Linked DNA regions of Mus musculus. The protein of the gene in region 1 interacts with the protein of each later gene in a pairwise test. Links are inferred from orthologs where the notes say so. Each region holds a gene or a part of one and is shown in the gene's direction. Other genes may lie near its edges.

What was found. The genes of interacting proteins can lie anywhere in the genome.
Region 2: the proteins of Mipol1 (region 1) and Ssxb9 interact in binary tests that used the Homo sapiens proteins (3 or more experiments, as listed by UniProt). The two-hybrid records come from large-scale screens. The link is inferred for Mus musculus from reciprocal best matches to the Homo sapiens genes MIPOL1 and SSX3.

What each region holds. Positions count from the first base shown.
Region 1 is NC_000078.6:57,451,081-57,461,998, forward strand, and holds the end of Mipol1 (mirror-image polydactyly gene 1 protein homolog), read left to right. Parts: intron 1-5,872; coding exon 5,873-6,107; 3' UTR 6,108-6,161; downstream 6,162-10,918.
Region 2 is NC_000086.7:8,368,745-8,379,118, forward strand, and holds the end of Ssxb9 (synovial sarcoma, X member B, breakpoint 9), read left to right. Parts: intron 1-797; 5' UTR 798-810; coding exon 811-924; intron 925-1,377; coding exon 1,378-1,492; intron 1,493-1,791; coding exon 1,792-1,881; intron 1,882-2,356; coding exon 2,357-2,406; intron 2,407-3,018; coding exon 3,019-3,094; intron 3,095-5,945; coding exon 5,946-6,058; 3' UTR 6,059-6,062; exon of another isoform or gene 6,063-6,089; intron 6,090-6,466; 3' UTR 6,467-6,644; downstream 6,645-10,374. UniProt on the Homo sapiens protein: Could act as a modulator of transcription.

The sequences.
Region 1 (10,918 bases):
TCACACACACACACACACACACACACACACAGTCCGTTACGTGCCTCTTACTGGAGAAGTGCCCACCGAGAAACATTCTCCACCTTGACCCTCGGCTGTATTTAATACAGTGATCAGGAGATGAGTCAAAATCTTAGAGATTAAAATGTGAGGATGTGAAGTAGTTCTGTGATACTCTTCTCCTTGCTATGAGGAAGCACCTCAGAGGAGCCACTGAAGAGAATAAGGCTCATCTGAACTGTCCACTGTCAAGATAGGTCTTCCCACCTCTGTTCAATTTTCCTTAAAAAAAAAAAAAAAAAACCTTTACAGACAAACCCAGGAATTCTAAATCCTGAGAAGTTGACAGTTGAGATTAACTATTACTGTAACTTAGTAATGTTTTAAAGTCTCATTTTTTTTTAATATTTGAGAACATTAAATCACTAGGGTTATATAATTTCAAAACTGAAACGTGATTTGAAATTCTGTTTATCGTATCTCATTACCTTCATAGCGAGCAGGAAATAGTTACAATTCTGTATGACATTGGTCGCGAGCTTTGGATTTCTGTAATTTCATGACTCTTCTGGTTTCCTGTCAGTTCTTCTTCCTATAGCTTAGTTTATTCCCATGGCTCATTAAGTTGTGCTGCTTCTGCCATGGTGACAAATGAATCTAGAAGTAAATCATTTTAAAGGAGAGTGTATGCAATAGGATTCCCCAAGGAGAGCTAAACAGTGGAGTCCTGGTGTCCGTGTAGAGTAGGGCACTATGAAACAAGAAGGCAGTGTCTCTCGGTGTTTGCCAACGTCCATATGCTGAGAGCGTAGGCTCCACACTTTACTCTCTACTCTCCCTATTGTGGGCTCATATAGGAAAATTTCCTTACAAGTATAAACATTTTAACTTTTAAAGTTCATAATGAATATGTAGTTCCCATAAAATAAAATAGACCTTACAGTTAATATTTACCTAAAATTCACTATACAGTTAGTAATGGAATATTAGTATATGGTCAGTGGGATGTAAACTACAAAGTAAGGGGAAAGCACATTCATTAAGTTATGAAGAGTACATGAGTAGGGTTATGAGACACACTCGCAGAGAAAACATCAAAATTTAAATTGTAACTTCCCCTTAAGCCCTATGACCTGTCTAGTGTGGGTTTTGTTTGGTTGGTTGGTTTTGGTTTTGTTGTTGTTTTCTCGAGACAGAGTTTCTCTGTGTAGCCCTGACTGTCCTGGAACTCACTCTGTAGACCAGGCTAGCCTCAAACTCAGAAATCTGCCTGCCTCTGCCTCCCGAGTGCTGGGATTAAGCTACTGTGGGCTTTTTAAATTAAGACTTATTTATTATGGAGTGCTCTCCTGCATATACATTTGCAGGCCAGAAGAGGGCATCAGAACTCATTACAGATGGTTGTGAACCAGCATGTGGTTGCCGGGAGTCGAACTCAGGACCTCTGGAAGAGCAACTGAGGCTCTTAACCACTGAGCCATCTCTCAGCCCTGTCATGGGCTTTTGAGTGAATTTATAATACCAACACCAGGTGTGGATTCCTTCCTGTGAAGCAATTCTCTACTCCAGTCAGAGACCTATTACTTGCCTTCATAAGATTTGTGCCATTATTGCACAAGTGTGCACATCTTGCCTGGCAAGTTGATAGTGCCATTCATAGGGCTCACAGCTAGGTCCACTGACACCTCCCTTCTTTCTTCCTCAGCTGACCACACAGGACCTTCCTACACTGTAAAAGCTTTCTAGCAAGGACAATTCTTCTAGCTTAGTTCTAGCATCATTTTTCTATATCATACCACCACAGTAGGTGGTATATTCATCTATAAAGTTGGTATATTCTTATCTTGTAGTCATGGTAGGCAAACAAAAAAATGGCAAGAGCCATATATAATTATAAGAGAGTAGCTTTCCCGTGGATTTTTCATATAGCCTTCCTTTTCATTAACCTGGCGCCTCCTGTTTCCTACCCTGCCACCTCCTCCCTGTGTAAACCTCTCTATCCCCAGTATTACATCCTCTACATTCATAACACCTGTGCTTAACGTCCTCTCTCCCTTAAAGTGATGGTTTGTATATGCTTGGCCCAGGGAGTGGCCCTATTGGGAGGTGTGGAATTGATGGAGTAGGTGTGTCACTGTGGGTATGGGCTTAAGACCCTCTTCCTAGTGGCCTGGAAGCCAGTCTTTCACTAGCAGCCTTCAGATGAAGATGTAGAACTCTCAGCTCCTTCTGCACCATGCCTGCCTGGATGCTGCCATGTTCCCGCCTTGATGATATTAAACTGAACCTCTGAACCTGTAAGCCAGCCCCAATTAAATGTTCTTTATAAAACTTGCTCTCATCATGTTGTCTGTTCACAGCAGTAAAACCCGAACACAGTATCTTTCTCCCAATAGCTTCTTTCATAGACTACTGGTGTCTGTAGGAACGCTTTATGTTGAAAACACAAAATGAGAGATTCAAACAGAGGGTCACATACAGTATTATTTATTCCTGTGCCTGGGTTACCTCACTTAGTATAATTTTTTTTCCAATTTCATCCACTTACCTGTCAATCTCATCCATTGTGTATATGTACCACATTTTTCATTATCCACTCATCAATTGATGAGCATCTTGACTCATTCCATTTCCTAGTTATTGTAAATACAGTAGCAATAAGTATGGATGAACAGGTATTTCAGTAGTAGGCTATAAATTTTTGGGGCGGTACACCCACTCAGAGGAGAAGGGGTATGGGAATAGGGAGAGGACTGTGGGAAGGGGTGACCGTGAAATGGACAGTGAGTGGGATGTAAAGTGAATAAGAAAAATATAATACAATAAACTTTTAAAAAATAATTGGGGTGGGGAATATGTCCAACAGAGGAATAATCCTGTGGTAGTTTCCACAAATTTCCATAGTGGCTTCATGAGTCTTGTAATCACACTAATAATGAATTTAGTTCTATTGTTTAGCTACACTGACATATGCTCAAACTGCCTTCTAAATTGTGTGTGTTTGTTTGTGCGCATGTGTGTGTGCTTATACACAAAGATAACTACAACCTTTATCAGAGATACTCTTTCCAGTGAATTGTGGTGCTTACAGAGACTTAGGGCTACACAAGTACAGGAATAGGTGTCAGCTGAGTGTTCAGCCCTACACAAGGCATTTAATATCATCCCCTCCTAGGTTCAGGGGGCATTGCAAGAGAGGAGAGAGAACAAATGTAAAGGCCAGAGAAAAGGGCTGCAAAATGCTCTAATGCCAAAGGCCAAATTCTGAATACTACAGGGCCTTTATAATTACAACCTCTCGACAAACACAGGTGACCACTCCAAATCTGCACAAGGACTGCTGATGGCCACTCACTCTGAACTGTCTCCTACTGATAGAGAGGAAGAGAGAAGTCTTTGCCTTCCATTGTATACCCACAGCAGATTCCACCAGGTGGCCCTGATTAAACTAAGTGGATCACCAAACCAAACCAAATTCAAAGTCTTGCATCTGAGAAAGGGACTGGCAGGTGAAAATTAGGTTGATAAGAGAGGAAGATAAGAGAAGGTGCGGGGGTGGGGGGGGGGGAGAGTAACCAGAATACATTATATGTTGGATGTAGTTACCAAAGGACTAACAATAAACAATTTAAATTTGGAGAGTCTCAAAGGTTTGTGTGCAGAAGCAGAGTTTAGACTGAAATCTCCCCAGTGAGTAGGAGTTTGTCACAGAGGGAAAGTGGTGCAAATGCAGTGGGCAGGAAAAGCTTTCTGTTTAAGAAACTGGTTGAAGGTCGAAAAGCCAGTGAAGAGCTATGGCAAGCACGGAGTAAGTGTTCAAACACAGGGGCTAGGAGTGTGGCTGTGGGTTCAAATGCAGGCTCGGCTAGGGGGTACTGCTGGGGTGATGGGATTATTTAAATTCCCTGCCTCTCTCTGTTTCAGTTTCTTCACTCATAAAACAAAGACAGTGAATGAAACTATTCAAAAAGGTTGTTTGCAGGTTCAGTGAGTTAAAATATATAATTTGTTATTTTTAGGGATTTTTTTTTTCCCAGAGTGCATGAGATGCCCCTGCAGGGTGTTAAGTGATACCACTTAAAGGCAGTCCAGCCACTGGCCCAACTTGGGATCCATCTCAAGGGGAGGCTCCAAGGTCTCACTATTACTGATGCTATGGTGTGCTTACAGACAGGATCCTAGCATGGCTGTGCTCCCAGAGGCCCAACAAGTAGCAGACTGAGACAGAGCCAGATCCAATCAATGGACAGAAGCTGGGGACCCCTGTGGTTGAATTAGGGAAAGACTGGAAGAAGCTGAGGAGTCGGGCAACCCCATGGGAAAACCAGCTGTCTCCAGAGACCTGAGGCCCCAGGGAGTAGGGAGTTCTGGAAGTATGGGGGCGGGGGGGGGGGGGGAGTGGTGACATCCTCTTGAAGACAGGGGGGCAGAGGAATGGGATGAGGAACTGTGGGAGGGAGGACAAGGAGGGGGATAACAACTGGACTGTAAAAAAAATAAAAGTAATTTAAAAAAAAATCACTAATTCCTACTGTTTGGTACTGTAGACTGTAGCTGGATAACATCCTGATGGAAGGGGAATCTTTGGGAGACAACCTGAATAATGAGTAGCCTCTGTGCTGGGATGTAAAGGGAGTCACATATCTCTCTGCACTTCATTGTAATTTTACACGGGATAACCAACTGACCAGAGTTTAGCACCATTCTCTATTGTTGGGGATTAATTTAAATCCTGAAATGATTTCTTTTGATATGTTAACTGTCTTGGTTTCTATGCGATACCTACCCCATATTGAGGACACTGTAGAGGCTTTTCTGTAACTTGAAAAGAAGAAATAGATAATCACACTCATCTGAACAGTTTTAGATGAAGCATCAGGCTAGTATTAGGCCAGTACTGAAGTTCTCCAACTAGCTTTTTTGCGGCTTTAAGAATTATATTGCTTTCATTCATATTCTCAACTTGTGTTATATAGCTCAGTGGTTGCACTTCCAACACTTCTGGCGACATTTCCTTTGTATTCATATACCAGAATGATTTTATTTAATAAAAAAAGAACATCTCCTATGTGGATTTTAAATTTCCCTTATTAAATATTTATATTTTCAAAATGTCTTTATTTAATTGAGTGAGGTGCTTGGTGCCATTTCAAAATAACCTCAGGTGGTGGGTGTAATGACATATCAAAGATCTGACCTTTAGCATTTTAGGATTCTATTTGTCTGCATTTTCTTCTGCATTCATTTCGTCTTAATTTATATGCTCTTTCTCCATATCACTTAATGAGTAGATGTATTTATCATAAGGTTCATTAGCCATAAAGATAGGTATCTGGATGCACATCCTCTGACTGGTGACTTTACATCATTCATCCTTCCACTGTGGCAGGTGGAAGGGTCTGTGTGTGAGGCTGCTGGGTATTTGCACAAACCTCGTCCATTCTCACTTAGTACTTCGATAGGCCCTAGATCTCCTAGACCGATGTCCATTCTCCTCCCCTGTCTTTGCAGTCAGCTTATTATACTTTTATTTACCTAGAAATACTTTATTTTCCAGTTCTGTGCTATCCCTTTAAAAGAAAATTGAATGTAATATTTACACTGACATAATTAAATTAACATTTTACAGCATCTTTCTGTGTGCTTTGATAGCATAGATAATCAGTTGTCTGCATTGCTCCTGGCCTAGTAGCAGAGTTACAGAACAATGATCAATTATAATAATACGTTATAAAAGCTATTTACATTTGCCCATTTAGGTATTCTATATTGATTTTTAGAAGAGGGGTTTCACATGAAGATTTTTTTTATTAAACAAATCATTGAACTTTTAGCCTACATTATTTATATTTGTATTTTTACATTTTCTCAGCTTGCACAAATCATTATCTCAAGAAGAAAGCCTGAAGGATCAGTTTAACCATGCCCTTAGTACCTATGAAGAAGCCTTAAAAAACAGAGAGAGCGTTGTCTCCATCACTCAGCAACAGAATGAAGAACTGGCCACCCAACTTCAGCAGGCTCTCACTGAGCACTCTCACATGGAATTACAGCTTCAGTGTGCTGTGGAGGCCTCCCAGGCAGCCAACGAAAAGGTTCAGAAGTAAGTAACCGATCCAGCCCTGACCCTAAAGGCATGAAACGTTAGAGAAAAGAAAAGGAAAAAAAAAAAAAAAAAAAAAAACTTTCCTTGGGAAACCCAACAGTCCACATAGTTTTTCTTGTTTGTATACTTACTAATGCTCTCAGGAAAAAGTAGCCAAAATGAACTTTTTAAGCTGACATTTCACTTCCTTTTTCAATAGAAAAAATTATTTGCTTGGCCCTTATTGTTACCCTATGATTTGGGACAGGTTGTATATACTAAATGCCCCGGATCAGCTCGTGGATTCTGCGGTGCTTAAATCCTTCCCCAGTGTTATTTGCAAAGGGGAGGGGCAGTCAAGTAACCAGCAGCTGCTCTCACTGAGCCTCACTGTCAGGGCCCTGGAGAAGAGATCTCCTGTGACCTTGTTCACTGAGCCTCTAGCTGCACTCAACCCAGTACACAGAAATTAATTTTCTTGTGTTGTTCTTTAGAAGTATGCGATGCAGCTTTCAGAGTGCATAATTATATTTGTTTATTTTGACAGTTCTTTGCATTTTTATTAAAATTTAAACAAAGCTGCATAATCAGTCCGTCCTTACAACAGTGCACAGAATGTTAACAATTTCCCAAGCAAAGATGTCCGTTATTAATTTATGGAACTTGAACACTGTAGCAGCATTTTCTGAAGAAGTTTGTTATGGAATACGGCGTGTCGTCCTAACCTTCTTTTGTACGAGTAACAGCAGCACGGCAGCATTCACAAACTGTATCACCTCTAGTTGCCAACACAGCATCTTTATCTTTTCTCTTTCAGACTCTGAGTATTAGGTTGTATGCCCAAGGACCGTTACTCCCTTGACTTCCTAGGTGAAATCAGTCATCTCAGCCGTTTCCCCATCATCTCTGCAACTGTATTTAAATTGATAGACCAGACTCAGGGGAATCGAGGCAAAGGCATTTTGGAATAATTCAGGGGTTACACACTTTAATCTTTACTGCCATTGTACCTTGAAACTTTTGATTAAGTCCTGTTAATTATCTGTTTTAAGATTGGGTACAAATTCATTTGGAAACTACATCTGGTTATTTGCAATGTGCATTAACAAACTAAAAATGCTGTGATATATAAATTGTATTGTAAATCACAGCAACTTGGACAGTTGTGATTTACTCCTGTTTGTACCGTCTACAAATAATTTTAAATGTCAAAGTTTATATGTAAGTACTTCATTGCTATGTGACTAAAATTCCCTAAAATAAGGGTTTCTTGAGACCAGTTAGTTTTCAAAATGTTGGAGATGTCAATATTTATCTTGCCAGTTAGCATTATCATGTTTTAAAAGAAAGATCTTTCGTATCCCAGGGAGTGGAAAGATTGTTGTCTCGGGAAATTAGTAAATTGGGTAGTTTTAGCTATTAAGCAAACTTTTATCATCTTTATTTTGCACGTTTAACCACAAACAAAATCTTTTTAGTGGAATACTACCAATCTGGGGATCGGTTTAAGTACAACATGTCATTTATAAAAGTTAAGTGTTGAAATTGCTTCTCCACTCTTTCATTCTGGTTTCCAAGAAGACCCACGTGAGCTATTTCTTTTACGTCTTCTATTTGTTTTGTTAGCCACAAATTAGGTAGTAGTGTGCATCTTCATCGTGGTTATATGAACATCAGCCTGTGCATTCTCCGGAATTTTTAGGGAGATTATCCTCTGAAAAGACAATAAATAAAACTTGGTAAGATAGGCTAAGTATGCTCTATAGTGTCTGACTTTTCATTGTAGTAATTCTTTGAAAGTATGTAAATACTTTATAAAATCAAATGAGAGAGATCTCTTCTCTCTTCACAGCCAAATCTTGAGTAGATGATCAATAATAATCTTTAATTTTTTAATATCTACCTATTCCTCTGCTCTTTATTACATTGTTGGCAACTGGCTGAAACTGTTCTTTATAAGATTCAAAGTAATTTCCTAATTCCAAGGTCCATGGTACATATTAACCATGTTCTTATATTATAACTGAAAAATAATTATGATAAAAATAAAGATGTGCATATATGATTAATATAACATGATAATTTGAAAACTTAGGCTTTGGGTTACAATGCGTAGGTAGGTACTTGGAGTTTGTTTTGAAACTTCATGCTGATATTCACAGTGACATGCCTTCCTCACAAATGTAGGAACTCAATGAAATAGACATGCAAAGCTGTTGACCAATGATGCTTCATATTATTTCCTCCTGTTATCTTTCTCCCTACTGCACTGCCTGTCTCTTTCCTCAGAAGCGCTCTGCCTTTTCAAGACTAAATGCCTCTGCAAATGTTGACCTCCCTACTTAGAGCCTTCTGCCCTCCCTGCCAGCCTCCTGGAGAACATTGTTCATTCTATGAGAGTCAGTGCAGCACTGGGCATAGAAAAAAAATGGGGTCAGTGCTTAAGTCAAATAGTTTTGGATTTCAATACCTGCTTTCCTACTAATTGCCTAGGAAATTTGAGGCACATTTTTTTATCCCATAAGAAAAGTTCCTAGATCAGGCTAGACAGTAAATCTGGCTTTGCAGGCTGACTTCTTGTAAAGAATAACTTGTATAACATATAATTACTGAGTGTAAGACTATTAGAAATATTCTAAAACACTACATTATTAATAACATCATATCTGTCAATATAATATGACCAATTCAACTGCATCTTCTCTACAAAGCTGTCTTTATCTTCCTAGAAAGAAAAATATCTCTAGTCTCTTTATTATTATAGTATTTAGGGTTTTTAAAAGTACATTAGAAGATCTTGCTATCAACAATATGCCCCAGATATCATTATTGGTATATATGTATATGTTTATGTGTCTTTCTAGCTAGACTATATATTGTTTAAACATGTAAGTCCTAAAACTGTACACAATGCATCTTACCTACTGAGTACCAAATGAAGGTTTAAAACCTTAGAAATACATAAATATGGATATATGGCTATATGCTTATATAATATTATCTTAGGACTTATTAATATTAGTAAGCACTGCATTTACACAGTCAATTCTTAGATTATTTGTAGCATTTGAACTCTTTTTATCTTTAATATCATACTATTCCTTCCTGATGTCATTGGAACAGGATTGGATAACTCCATTTTCTTTTTCTGATGCTACTCCACCTGTTTCTACTCCTTTTGGGAAATATTTCTGCTTTAAACCTAAATAATGGTTTATTTAAAGATTAGCTCTATGAAATTCGCCAGAAACACATGTGTTTATATAACTTCAGCCACTGCCACCCACTCAGAAAACTTCCGAGTCAGTGTGGCAGTGCTCCCCTCCCCTCTGGAGGTCCACCCGTGTGCCCGGAACACTGTGTCCTCTTCTGCCAGTCAGGTCTTGCCCACTCTCCTTGGTTTCCCATGTCAGTTGCTGGACTTGAGCAACTTCAGCGCTGCCCCTGGTTTTCCGTTTTACCCTTTGCATTCCTGTTGGCTCCAGTTTCTACCACTGCCTAAGTCTCTCAATTCCCTCTACTCCGCCTTGATGAAGTCCACTCCTCCTCATTCCTTGATCCAGACCATGGCAATAGCCCCTCCCTTTCTGCCATCACAATGAGCTGCTCTAAAGCATACATAAGGTAATATTGTTTTCCTATTAAGAGTTCCTCAGGTATCCTTCTCTCCCAACAGGTTCAACCTCAAACAACTTAGCATGACATCTGAAGCCGGATGCAGGCCCTCCCTCCTTGTTCCACTGTCATTTCCTCCTGCGACAACACATTTTACATATGCTTCAGGGAGCTTCCTAAAATGAATGCCTTCTGCTGCTCTAGGTGAAACTTTGGTTACTCTCTGAAGTACAGCCTGCTTATTAAAATCCCTGTAGTAAAGCTATAGCTGGTATTTTATAGGAGTTCTCAAACGGCGCCTTTCATGCTGGACAGATGGCTCGGTGTTAAAGAGCATTGTTCATGTGGAAGACCTGGGTTCATTTCCCAGCACCCACGCCGCAGTTCAGAAGCACCTGTAACTCTAGCCTCTGCTGCGGCAGGTACACACTGTATACAGACACACACGGGCAAAACACTCACACACGTGCAATAAACCCTTACAAGTTGTGGTTTTTTCTATTTCATCATTATTTTCATTATTCAATCTTTAGTTTTGTTTTGTTGGGTTTTTTTTTTTTTTTGGGTTGTTTTGTTTTGTTTTTTGAGACAGGGTTTCTCTTAGCCCTGGCTGTCCTAGAACTTGCCTTGTAGATCAGGCTGACCTTGAATTTGGAGATCTGCCTGCTTCTGCCTCCCTAGTGCTGGGATTAAAGGTGTATAACCATTACCACCACCACCACCACCACCACCACCACCACCCCCGCCCCCGCCCCCAGCTATTTTTATCATTGTCTTTTAAATCATTCTTAATCTGTTCCTTTCAGTGTTACAATAGTTTTGAATTTTTGTTTTACGCCATAGTACCCTCTCTGAAATTTCCCAAGTCACAGACACCATCTTCATACATTATCTCCAAAATCTTGCCAGATGCTATTTGTAAAGTAGGCATCCCTCAAGTGCTCACAAACAAAAGAGCGACACAATTGACTAGTGAGAGCAATGACATAAAGGCACTCTGGCCAGGTCTGGAGCACACAGTGCAGATTCACATGGGCTCTGACTGATTGAGACCCTGGGTACAGTCTTTTCCCATCTGTGCGTTTACAGAAAAGGAGGGCCATCATTGGTGATTCTGCCCACTACGGACAGCACACATCTTCAGCTCCTCAAGGTGCTGGGACCTGATGGCCAGATTATAATCCTTGTGCTAACCAACCAAATTAAACTTCTATTAAG
Region 2 (10,374 bases), on another chromosome or scaffold:
TCAAATATGGTTAATTCATCATATTTCTCTGTTTTCCTATTCATTTCCACATGAGTGAAGCTTTATGACGTCTCTCTTCTACTATTTTCTTTTTTGGCAAAACTAGGGAATTAATGTAAGGGCCACTCACATGTTACATAAGAATCCTACTACTAAGCTACAATTTAAATCCTGATTGAGTCTTTGAGACAGGATTTAATTATATATTACCCAGACTGGCCTAGATCATTCTTTATAGTTACTCAGACAGGCATTGAACATATGACCCTTCTACCTCAGCCTCCCAACTACCCTGTGTTACAGGCATAAGAAGGGAACTCTGGCTTTTCTTCCAAAAACAAATTCACTCTAGGTAACAACAAACTAGTCACTAATGGGTCTTGTAAAACACTAGGAGCTATTCCTAATCTCTGCTTGTATTTGGTGCTTGGTGTACCTTCTTCTTCTGAACTCCTCACCACCCATCTTCTAGGGACAACTGCTGCTTTCATATCTTCTATGAAATCAGTTTTCACTTTCCTTGCCTGAGTGAGAATATGTGCTTGCCCCATTCAATAAGTTTCTATTTCCTTTAATCTCAATGAACACTTCAGGGCAACTAATCAGGACAGACTCTCACTCTCAAAGACTCAGGATACCTTCATACATGTTTATGCATGTTCATAGAATCTAATTGATTCCTAACCACCAACTCTCCCATAGACCTAGTCAAGGATAGATGATCTCAGGGTGAAACGGTGTACAAGAAATATCAGCTACTGACTCTTACTGTGTATGTGCAACCCCTTCGTTCACAGGACATTTGGTTTTATGCTTGAAGAAGATAAGATTGTGTCTTTTCAAAATCACACTGACATGGAAACAGTGAGTTCCTGTGAAAAGGTCCCCATGGAAGTGCTTTATGAACCAAAGAATATCTGCAAGGTGAGGGGGCCATAGTGGGGTGGACAGAAGCAGCTGAGTGACCAAGGGCCACTGTAGAATGACTTACCAGAAGGTGGAAATCAGAGGCACTTGGGACAAGGACTACAGTCTCCACTGGTCCTCCATAAGTCTCAGGATGTCTCTCCATGCACAAATGGTCCATGAGTCCTTCTACAGCCTTCATTAGGACTTCAGATTAGTGACGTAGTACTACATTCATTTGGTGACACTCAGTCCCTTGTAAGTGGGGGAGGAGAACACATGAGCAGCATTGAGAATTTCTAGTGGCTGTGGAAAAGGCTGTCTCTCCCTTAACCCTCTTATTTCCCAGGACTGATTGTGTTGATTCTCTGGTGGATCACAAAGGTCCTCCACCACAGAGGGCATTCTGGGATGAATGGTACACACATCCAGCAGAACAGTTTCCAGAGTTTTCATTCCCTTCTTTTCCAGGCCTTCCAGGATATTTCTACATACTTCTCTGATGAAGAGTGGGGAAAGCTGACTCAATGGCAGAAAAGTGCCTACGTGTACATGAAAAGAAACTACATCAGAATGACTGACCTAGGTAAGATGAAATCTGGGTTCAGACCAGTCTGGTGGTTCCCAGTTTGTTTGCTATGCCACATCTTCTCAAACTGTAGCAGGGCCCTCTCCCATGATACCTTTCTTTCCTGAGAAATGTCAAGGTGCTTGTCGAGCCTGCAGCTGCTCTTTTCCACCCTTTGCAGAGCTGACAGCATAGATCATAGGCAATAGAGTGCTGGCCTCTTATGGGCCTTAAGATCTGGGCTGTAGCCCAGTTTCTAGCACCATTTCCCCTCGTTGTGCTGCCTGTTAAAGAACAAACACTCTGCTTCCTCTTAGGGGTCACCGTGAACCAACCAGTTTTCATGCGTGGCAAGGAGCAGGACAAGCAATCCCTGGTCGAAGGCATTGAAGATCATGACAGTGATGGTGAGTGATCAGGGAGGGGCTATGAAAGTTCACCTTCTCAGTCAGGATGCATGCTAAAGTGATAGGCAGCTCTTTTCTTGTTCAGATCAGGGTTGTGTGGAACAGAGCTCACTCTGAGGATTATGTAGAAGATCCTGTCATGCACAATTCTAAAACATTATTGTGTACATTATACTGGATAATAAGTAAATGGCCAATGTGTAACACCTTCAAAGAGAGTCAGAATATCCTGTGTCCTACCATCTTGTGAGGGGATGAGGCAGTGATGAGGCTTAGCTGACACTTCCTATCCAATCAGAAGGAGACTTCTAAAAGGGCACCTGTCATTGGTCAGATGAAAGAGAGCCAGGCTCCACTAGCTCCTCCTCCAAAAATGGGCCCACTCTCCACTCTAGCCTTCCCTAAATCAGCAAGATTCTGAGCCTTTGGAATATTTACTAACAAACAAAACCTTCTGACTTGTTACTATCTGTAGATGAATGCTTTGAAGGATCTTTTGGTGTGACACCGAGAAAACGAATGAAGGCAAGTATCACCTCTTTCCTTAGGAATGCACCCTGTTTGTCCCTCAGTTCATGTCCACATTGGTTTTTTTTTAAAAGACCTATTTATTATTATATGTAAGCACACTGTAACTGTCTTCAGACAGCCCAGAAGAGGGCATCAGATCTCATTACAGATGGTTGTGAGCCACCATTTGGTTGCTGGGATTTGAACTCAGGACCTCCGGAAGAGCAGCCAGTGCCCTTTACCACTGAGCTATCTCGCCAGCCAACTCTTTTTTTTTCCTTTTTTCCTTTCCACATTGTTGAGGACACAGTTTTCTTCTTGGTGGTGGATAAGTGTATAAATATATGTTTGATACTTAAAGTGTAAATTTTAATGTGTTGCTTCACATGCTGTTTCAAATGCCAATTTTTACTGTATCTTTCATAGAGTTATATATAGTTAATCTATATATTTAGAGTCATTGAATCTTCAGGTCTGGTTAATTTTGACATGTGATGATTTTATTTATTTGCCAGGCCCTGTTCTAAATATTATCCAGGAAATTAGAACACCCTTTATCAAGTAGCAGAAACACTCCCTATAGATTACTATTTGACAAAATGTCTTTACTCTGATTCTCTTTTATAGCTGACATCAGTGACAATAAGTATTCATAATGTAGAAGGAAGCCTTGCCTCTGTAAAGAATGATTCCAACTTGGCAGGTTGGCTGCAATCTATTTCCTATCCTTAACATATTATATTGTTTGTCAATTTGGTATTTATTTAATTCTTTGAGGATTTTATATCATTTATTTTAATCATATTCACACATACCCCACCCTTTCATCCAATGAATATAAAACATCTTTCCCAGCTGTTTTTCACCCAACATCCATACCGTTTTTATTTTAATTTTTTTATAAATAAAAAACTCAAGGCCAATTTGTGCTATCTACATACTGTGGGATGTAGAACCATCTAGTGGAGTATGGTTGCCCTACCAGGGGCCATTCATTTATCATAATCACAGTAACAGGTTTCCCAGGGGTCCTGTATAACTACAGGTTCTTGGTCAGAGTTACAATACAGGACCCGTGTTTCTTCAATTAGAGTATTTTAGTACTTAGAGAACTGATAATGAGGATTGCCTCAACTGTGCTAGATTATTGACCCAAAGAGCAGGTCCACTAGCTTGCTAATCTGTAGCCCAACTCACTGAAGTATAGTCCAGTCTTCCTTAGTTTCTGAAGCCTAGGTGATGCTCCTGTCAGTATTCTCTCACAGAGCTTGCACATTCTTTCATCCTGACACTCACTTTCCACATAGGGATCTCCAGCTGGCCTAGGCTCTGTGAAGGGCCCATACACTCTTCTGGCTACAAATGACAGGGCTTTCATAGTAGACCCCTTCCACTGTGATCAAGTTCAGGACATGTATATACCTGAAAACTTTCTGCCCCACAGTCCCAAGTTAGAGGACCCCAGGAGGCACCTGACTATGGAATGGGGGTTTCGACAGCTGCAGGGTCCAGTGTAGTGTAGAGAGAATTCTGGGAGCTGAGGTTAGTGACCAGTGAGGCCCCAGGAAAGGACTGACTGTGTGAAGGGAGGAATCCTGATAGTGCATATGTAGGTGCTTACTATTATCTGAAACTCTAGTTCCAGATTATCTGACACAGTGTTTCCTCCACAGGTATACCCACATACATCTTCCACATACACAGAGACATACAGAGAAATACAAATGTAAACATACAATAAAAGGCTTTACATTCAGTTTCTGACTTCTTTTGGTTGTACATATACTCCCTCATACATGACTCAGGAAGGTGAATGAAAGGTAGCTGAGGATTAGTGACTAATGGCACATCTTGGCATATCAACAGAAAAGGTGTAGGCACCAGCTTGCCCAGTTCCACCTGAAGTGCTCTCACCAGCATCACATGAGATACTACCTCTGGCACGAGGTTCTTTAATACCTACATCACTGTCTCCTTTCTTTCTATCCTGTCCACTGCTGCATTCACCTGCACACGTCACCACGGGGCATTTACATGCACAAACCACCACAGTGCATTCACCTGGACATGCCAGCATGGTGCGTTCACCTGCACAAGCCACCACGGTGCATTCATTTGCACTCACTACCATTGTGTGTTCATTACCTCATGCCACCATGGTGCGTTCATCTGGACGTGGCACCAAGGTGCATGCAGTGCTATCTCCTTCATTCTGTTCACGCTTTACATACTGTGCACGCAGTATACCACCAGCTTCTGTGTGCAGCCATGTATTTCATATTCCTGCCTCTCCCAGAGCCTGTGGCTTCTTCCAGCGCTTTTCTTCGCCTAATATTTGTTCCTTACTCTTAATTATATCTCTTCTGGTTGTGCAAATGACAGTGTTTTAACAATATAAAGGCAAACATTGTAGCTCTGGAACTAGGTTTACTTAGGACATTTCTTTGCCATTTGAACACATGTGTTCTTTTTTTATTTAGTTACAAAAAGTGAAATACTTTTTCAAGTGTGATTAATGCATTAAGAAAAATTCTTTAAAATCACCTGCAAAAGATCAAGCCAATAACATTCTGCCATGGAAGGAGGGGCTCACCAGCTTCTGCCCCTCTCAGAGGATATGATGGCAGTTGCCAGGTGCTAGGAAAAAGGCCAATGAGGCCCAATGCACATATAAGTAAGCCGAACTCAACTCACTGGGTCTCACTGATACCAACCAAGAGGCAATAAAAGGGAATCTAGAGGTAGGGAGGAAGGGTGTCAGTGTGACTCAAGCGAGGAATTAGGCACACACATGATTAAAATACATTATATATGCATATAAAATATAATAATGAAGTGGAACAACATATATAACTAATATATGTTAATAGAACCTTTAGAAAAATACAAGAAAAGACACTTAACCTCTAATACAATACAAACATACTACTGACTACCTGAATAAGTGCTTCAGTGTTTAAAAAACGCTGAAGAAGGTAGCACGGGAGGAATAACCCAACATGTGTTCCAGGAACAGCAGGCTCAGAGACACCAGCACAACAAAGAGAAATCCCATGCTTTGGGGACAGACAACAGGGTGGCGTTGGATGAGAAAAAAGCACAGGGGAAACAATACTCTGGTTTCCCTAGATTGTTCGAGGTGTTTGGTCTTTCTGGGTGAGGCACTCCCCCCAGCACCAGTTCAGATGTTACAATGGGCCTCTATAATCATAATTTGACTTGTCCTTCTGAAAGCCGTGTGACACTGGACAAGTTTTCTACATGCTCTGAAGCTAACCCTGAAATCTATACAATATAAGTGAATGGTCACTGGACCCTCCTCCTAATGGAGGATAAAATAGGAATTCTATATCGGGGGTTGGGATCCTGATGGGGACAAGAGAGTACACTGGACGGTATAACCCAAACTAGCCTTTGGTCTGTATTGCTGTAGGGCTGACATCTCAGTCTCATGAGCCAGCAGTAAAGGCCCAGAGGCTCATGGGAGGGCCAAGCCCTGTTCTTTTCTGATGAGAAAAGCCTTGCACTCATGCACTAACCTCTCCACATTTTAGAAACTAGTGGCATTCGGGTCAATGTTTGGAGCCACCGGCTGCGAGAGAGGAAGTATCGAGTGATATATGAAGAGATTAGTGATCCTGAAGAGGAAGAAGATGATGATTACTGAACTGGTAAGTGGTCCTCTGACACATCTCACAACACCCAGAACACACACGTTTCCCATACGGTATTAGACCCTACCCAATCATCCACTTCTAGTCCTTTGGGGTGCAAGACTGAACCAGATGTCATAAGTCATGCTTCCTTTACTGCAGTGCTGGGTAGTTTCGAGACCTTCCCTAGCCAGGATGCTATGGGCTTTTAAATCCCAGGTTATCACTCAAAGTGTAGGCCATTTCTTTCTCTGGTGAGGGAGGCCCATGCTCTAGAAGAGGGTGTGCTTGTGGGGTAGAGCTCTGAAGCTGGGCAGAAGGAGAGCATGCAGGCTCTGAAGGACAGGTGGAAACAGAGCGCTGAGTAGGTGGTGGCAACTCCCTCGCATTTCTCTTCCTTCTCTTTCTTGTCTCATCCACAGACAGTTGAAATAAGGCCACGGTGGAAGAAGGATGGAGTGGCAATTCAACATTACAGCTCCAGCTTTGAAAGACTAAATATCAGCAGTATAGATACATACATTTATTTATATATTTATTGATTATATACATTTATACCTATATTTATTTATTTATAAAAGTCTACTAGAATTCTGAGTTAAGCATGTGTCAAGTGTTTGTTCTCTTAGCAATTTTGTAGGATGTGCCAAACATTGTTAGGAGTCTTTGTCCGTCATGCCAAACATTTCCTATTGTTATTGTCACTGTGTTGAGCCCCATAGAACTGCTTTTTCTGTGCCAGGTACTCTTGAAGCATAGATCTCTGTGTACGGCAAGCATCTGGTCAGCACTGTGGGTAGTACATGCTAAGAACTCTGTTAGTATTGACTTACTGTGTGACAGCCACTCTGGCAGAATACCAATGTTTCAAGCAGGCTAAATGGCTCAGTGATAAAGGATCCTGCTGTCAGACTTGAGTTCAATCTTAAAGACCTACATGGTTGACACAGAGAACTGGCTCCCTCACAGTGTCCATTGCTATTCACAACTGAACGCATTTGTGCGTGTACACACATACACAATATCCAAGCATACAAGCACAAAATAACTCAATAAACAATGGGAAATATAATAAGCCTATCAACATTGCACTTAGCAAGGCATATACCTAATGCATATTGCTGGCTGCCTGCCCTTTACTCCTATGAGGAATCGTGTGTCAGCTATCATTGCACTGAAGCACACTGCCCTCTCCTTCCCTAGGACTGCCAAGCAGCCTTCTATTTGTCTATGATAACATGTTTCTCTGTCTTGCACACACACACATATACAAGTCATTACTAGGGACACCTGTTACCTGCCATGCTACACTAGAAATATTTCTAATTACAACTATCTCGTTTCATTGTTTGGCTAGGATACATTTCCTTCCCTGTTTGCACAAAGGTGACAAATCCAAATTCTGTGATGTGGTAAAATCTGGCTTTGCTTGACCACACTTAGGACCTTCATCTACCAAAGAGCCTGAGGCTCAATGTAGACAGATGCTCATGTCTATGGAGATCAAAAGTTATTTTTTTTAACCCTCTAGTTTTAACTTTTGGGGAGTAAGTGTAGTGTCTGATTCTAGGGATTGAACCCAGACCCTCCTGCATTATTGCGAGGGCTCACCACTGAGCTGCACAGGACTAGTTTTTATTGCTTCATTGTTGACAGAATCCTGAAAGAAAGTCAATGCAGAACGATTTCTCTGGGCTTACACTTTCTGTGGGCTCAGTTGATAGACACTTTTTCCATACATGCAGTGTATGAAGGGAGGCTGTTCTTCCCTTCATCTTGGATTAGGGTGGCCAAAAAGGAATATAGGAAAGGCTCAAGGTAGGAAACAGACTCAAGTACATGGTTCTAATGAGATAATTCCTCAATCATCCTTGTCTCCCATGTAACTACCAAGATCATGTAACATCGCCAATAGATTTGTTGGGAATTAGATGAGAGATCCCAAAACATAATTACTTTCAAAAATGTCTTCACACAGAGGAAAAGTGGAACATTTCCTACTATGTCCTAGACTTCTCTGAAACACCAAGACTATCAAAATTAACACACATACTCAGTTGTTTGTGTCATTTTCTGATGAGGTTTCACTAAATCACCCAGGCTGGCATCAAATTTGCTGTTGTCCTCTGTCAACTTCCAAGTCATCAGGATCAGAGCTCCTCTTGGGCTATAATCAATATCTTTCGCTTTATTTTTGTTCACTGATATATGTTCCATTATGCATCCCAGGCTATACTGGAACTCACTTTATAGCCCAATTGTGGTATTTGTGCCCCACCCACCCTCTTGAGTACTGGGCTTACAAGAGTAGACTACTGCACATAGTGTGATTGAATACATTCCAAGTGAGATTAACATTGACCTAGGTAGGTCCCTAGAACAGGATTTAGGAAGCAACAAGGTAAGGAAGACAGTAGGGTCATCATAAGGAAAGTGTTGTAAGCAGTAATCACCAATCTCACAATAACTAATACTCCTTGGGGGCTGGAGAGATGGCTTAGTGGTTAAAGTGCTGACTGCTCTTCCAGAGGTCCTGAGTTCAAATCCCAGCCACCACATGTTGGCTCACAACCATCTGTAATGGGACCTGATGCCCTCTCCTGGTGTGTATGAAGACAACAACAGTGTCTTCATATACATTGAGATAAATAATAATTGTTTAAAAGATACTTCTCTGTAGCCTAGGATATGGTTTCTAGTGAAGACTGACTAACATATACAACAGGCCTAGGGGACAACGTATCACTCTAGAAAAATAAGTTACACCGGCAGAAATTTAGGATTTTATATGAACAGGAATAGATGATAATGTAGATACTTAACAGAGCCTAAGGGAGTTCTCACATATGTGGAACTAGAGCCAAGTCCAAAGTCAGAGCTGAATGGCAGCAAAGGTAGAAGAGCTTACGGAATAGAAGAATTAAGGCTTATATCTGAAGGACATAGATAGTACAAATGAGACCTAGGGTCCTGGACCACTGCAGGCAAGGGACACATAAACTGTGTTGGTATGATAAATGTTTCAGTCAGGTTTAGAATTATTATTAGTGTTCCATTGTCGATGCTATGATGTAATCTATGTCATATGCCCATTTCACATAGCACTCATATGTAGGAGCCATAATGTCCCATGTAACTCTCCTAGGGATGATGGAGGTAATGTATGTTCCTATGCATATGGCTCTGATGAACAGAACTATAGAGAGGGAAGAGACAAGAGGCCTCTGCTTCACCACTATGTGAGGATGCAGAGAGGTTTCAGAGGCGCTGATAAATGGATGTGTTCAACAAAACAAACCAAATGCAGAAAGAGACGGTTCAAGGTTAACTTCAAATGAGTAACCATGGTTAAATTTGTGTCTTGTGTAATTTTGTATTGGGTGGGGCATGAAATTGGAAAGGGTATCATAAATGGGAGGTGGAATCCTTAAAGAGGTAGAAAGAGTCACTTTGTGTACAGAGACCAGGAAAGTAGTAACAGGGACAATCAGGGAGAAAGAAGGAAACTAGCAAGATGGGGATAGGGGTGAGAATGGGTATGGGAATATGTCATCATGAAACTCATTACGTTATATGCTTCCTTAAAAACATCAAAGAAATAGATTCTTTTTTTTTTTCGAGGCAGGGTTTCTCTGTATAGCTATGGCTGTCCTGGAACTCACTTTGTAGACCAGGCTGGCCTCGAACTCAGAAATCCACCTGCCTCTGCCTCCCAAGTGCTGGGATTAAAGGCGTGCGCCACCACGCCCGGATAAGAAATAGATTCTTTTTTTCCCCATTTTTTATTAGGTATTTAGCTCATTTACATTTCCAATGCTATACCAAGAGTCCCCCATACCCACCCACCCCCACTCCCCTACCCACTCACTCAGCCTTTTTGGTCCTGGTGTTCCCCTGTACTGGGACATATAAAGTTTGAGTGTCCAATGGGCCTCTCTTTCCAGTGATGGCCGATTAGGCCATCTTTTGATACATATGCAGCTAGAGTCAAGAGCTCCGGGGTACTGGTTAGTTCATAATGTTGTTCCACTTATAGGGTTGCAGATCCCTTTAGCTCCTTGGGGGGGTTGGGGATTTAGCTCAGTGGTAGAGTGCTTGCCTAGCAAGCACAAGGTCCTGGGTTCGGTCCTCAGCTCTGGAAAAAAAAAAAAAAAAGAATCTTAGTCCTTTAGCTCCTTGGGTACTTTCTCTAGCTCCTCCATTGGGAGCCCTGTGATCCATCCATTAGCTGACTGTGAGCCTCCACTTCTGTGTTTGCTAGGCCCCGGCATAGTCTCACAAGAGACAGCTACATCTGGGTCCTTTCGATAAATCTTGCTAGTGTATGCAA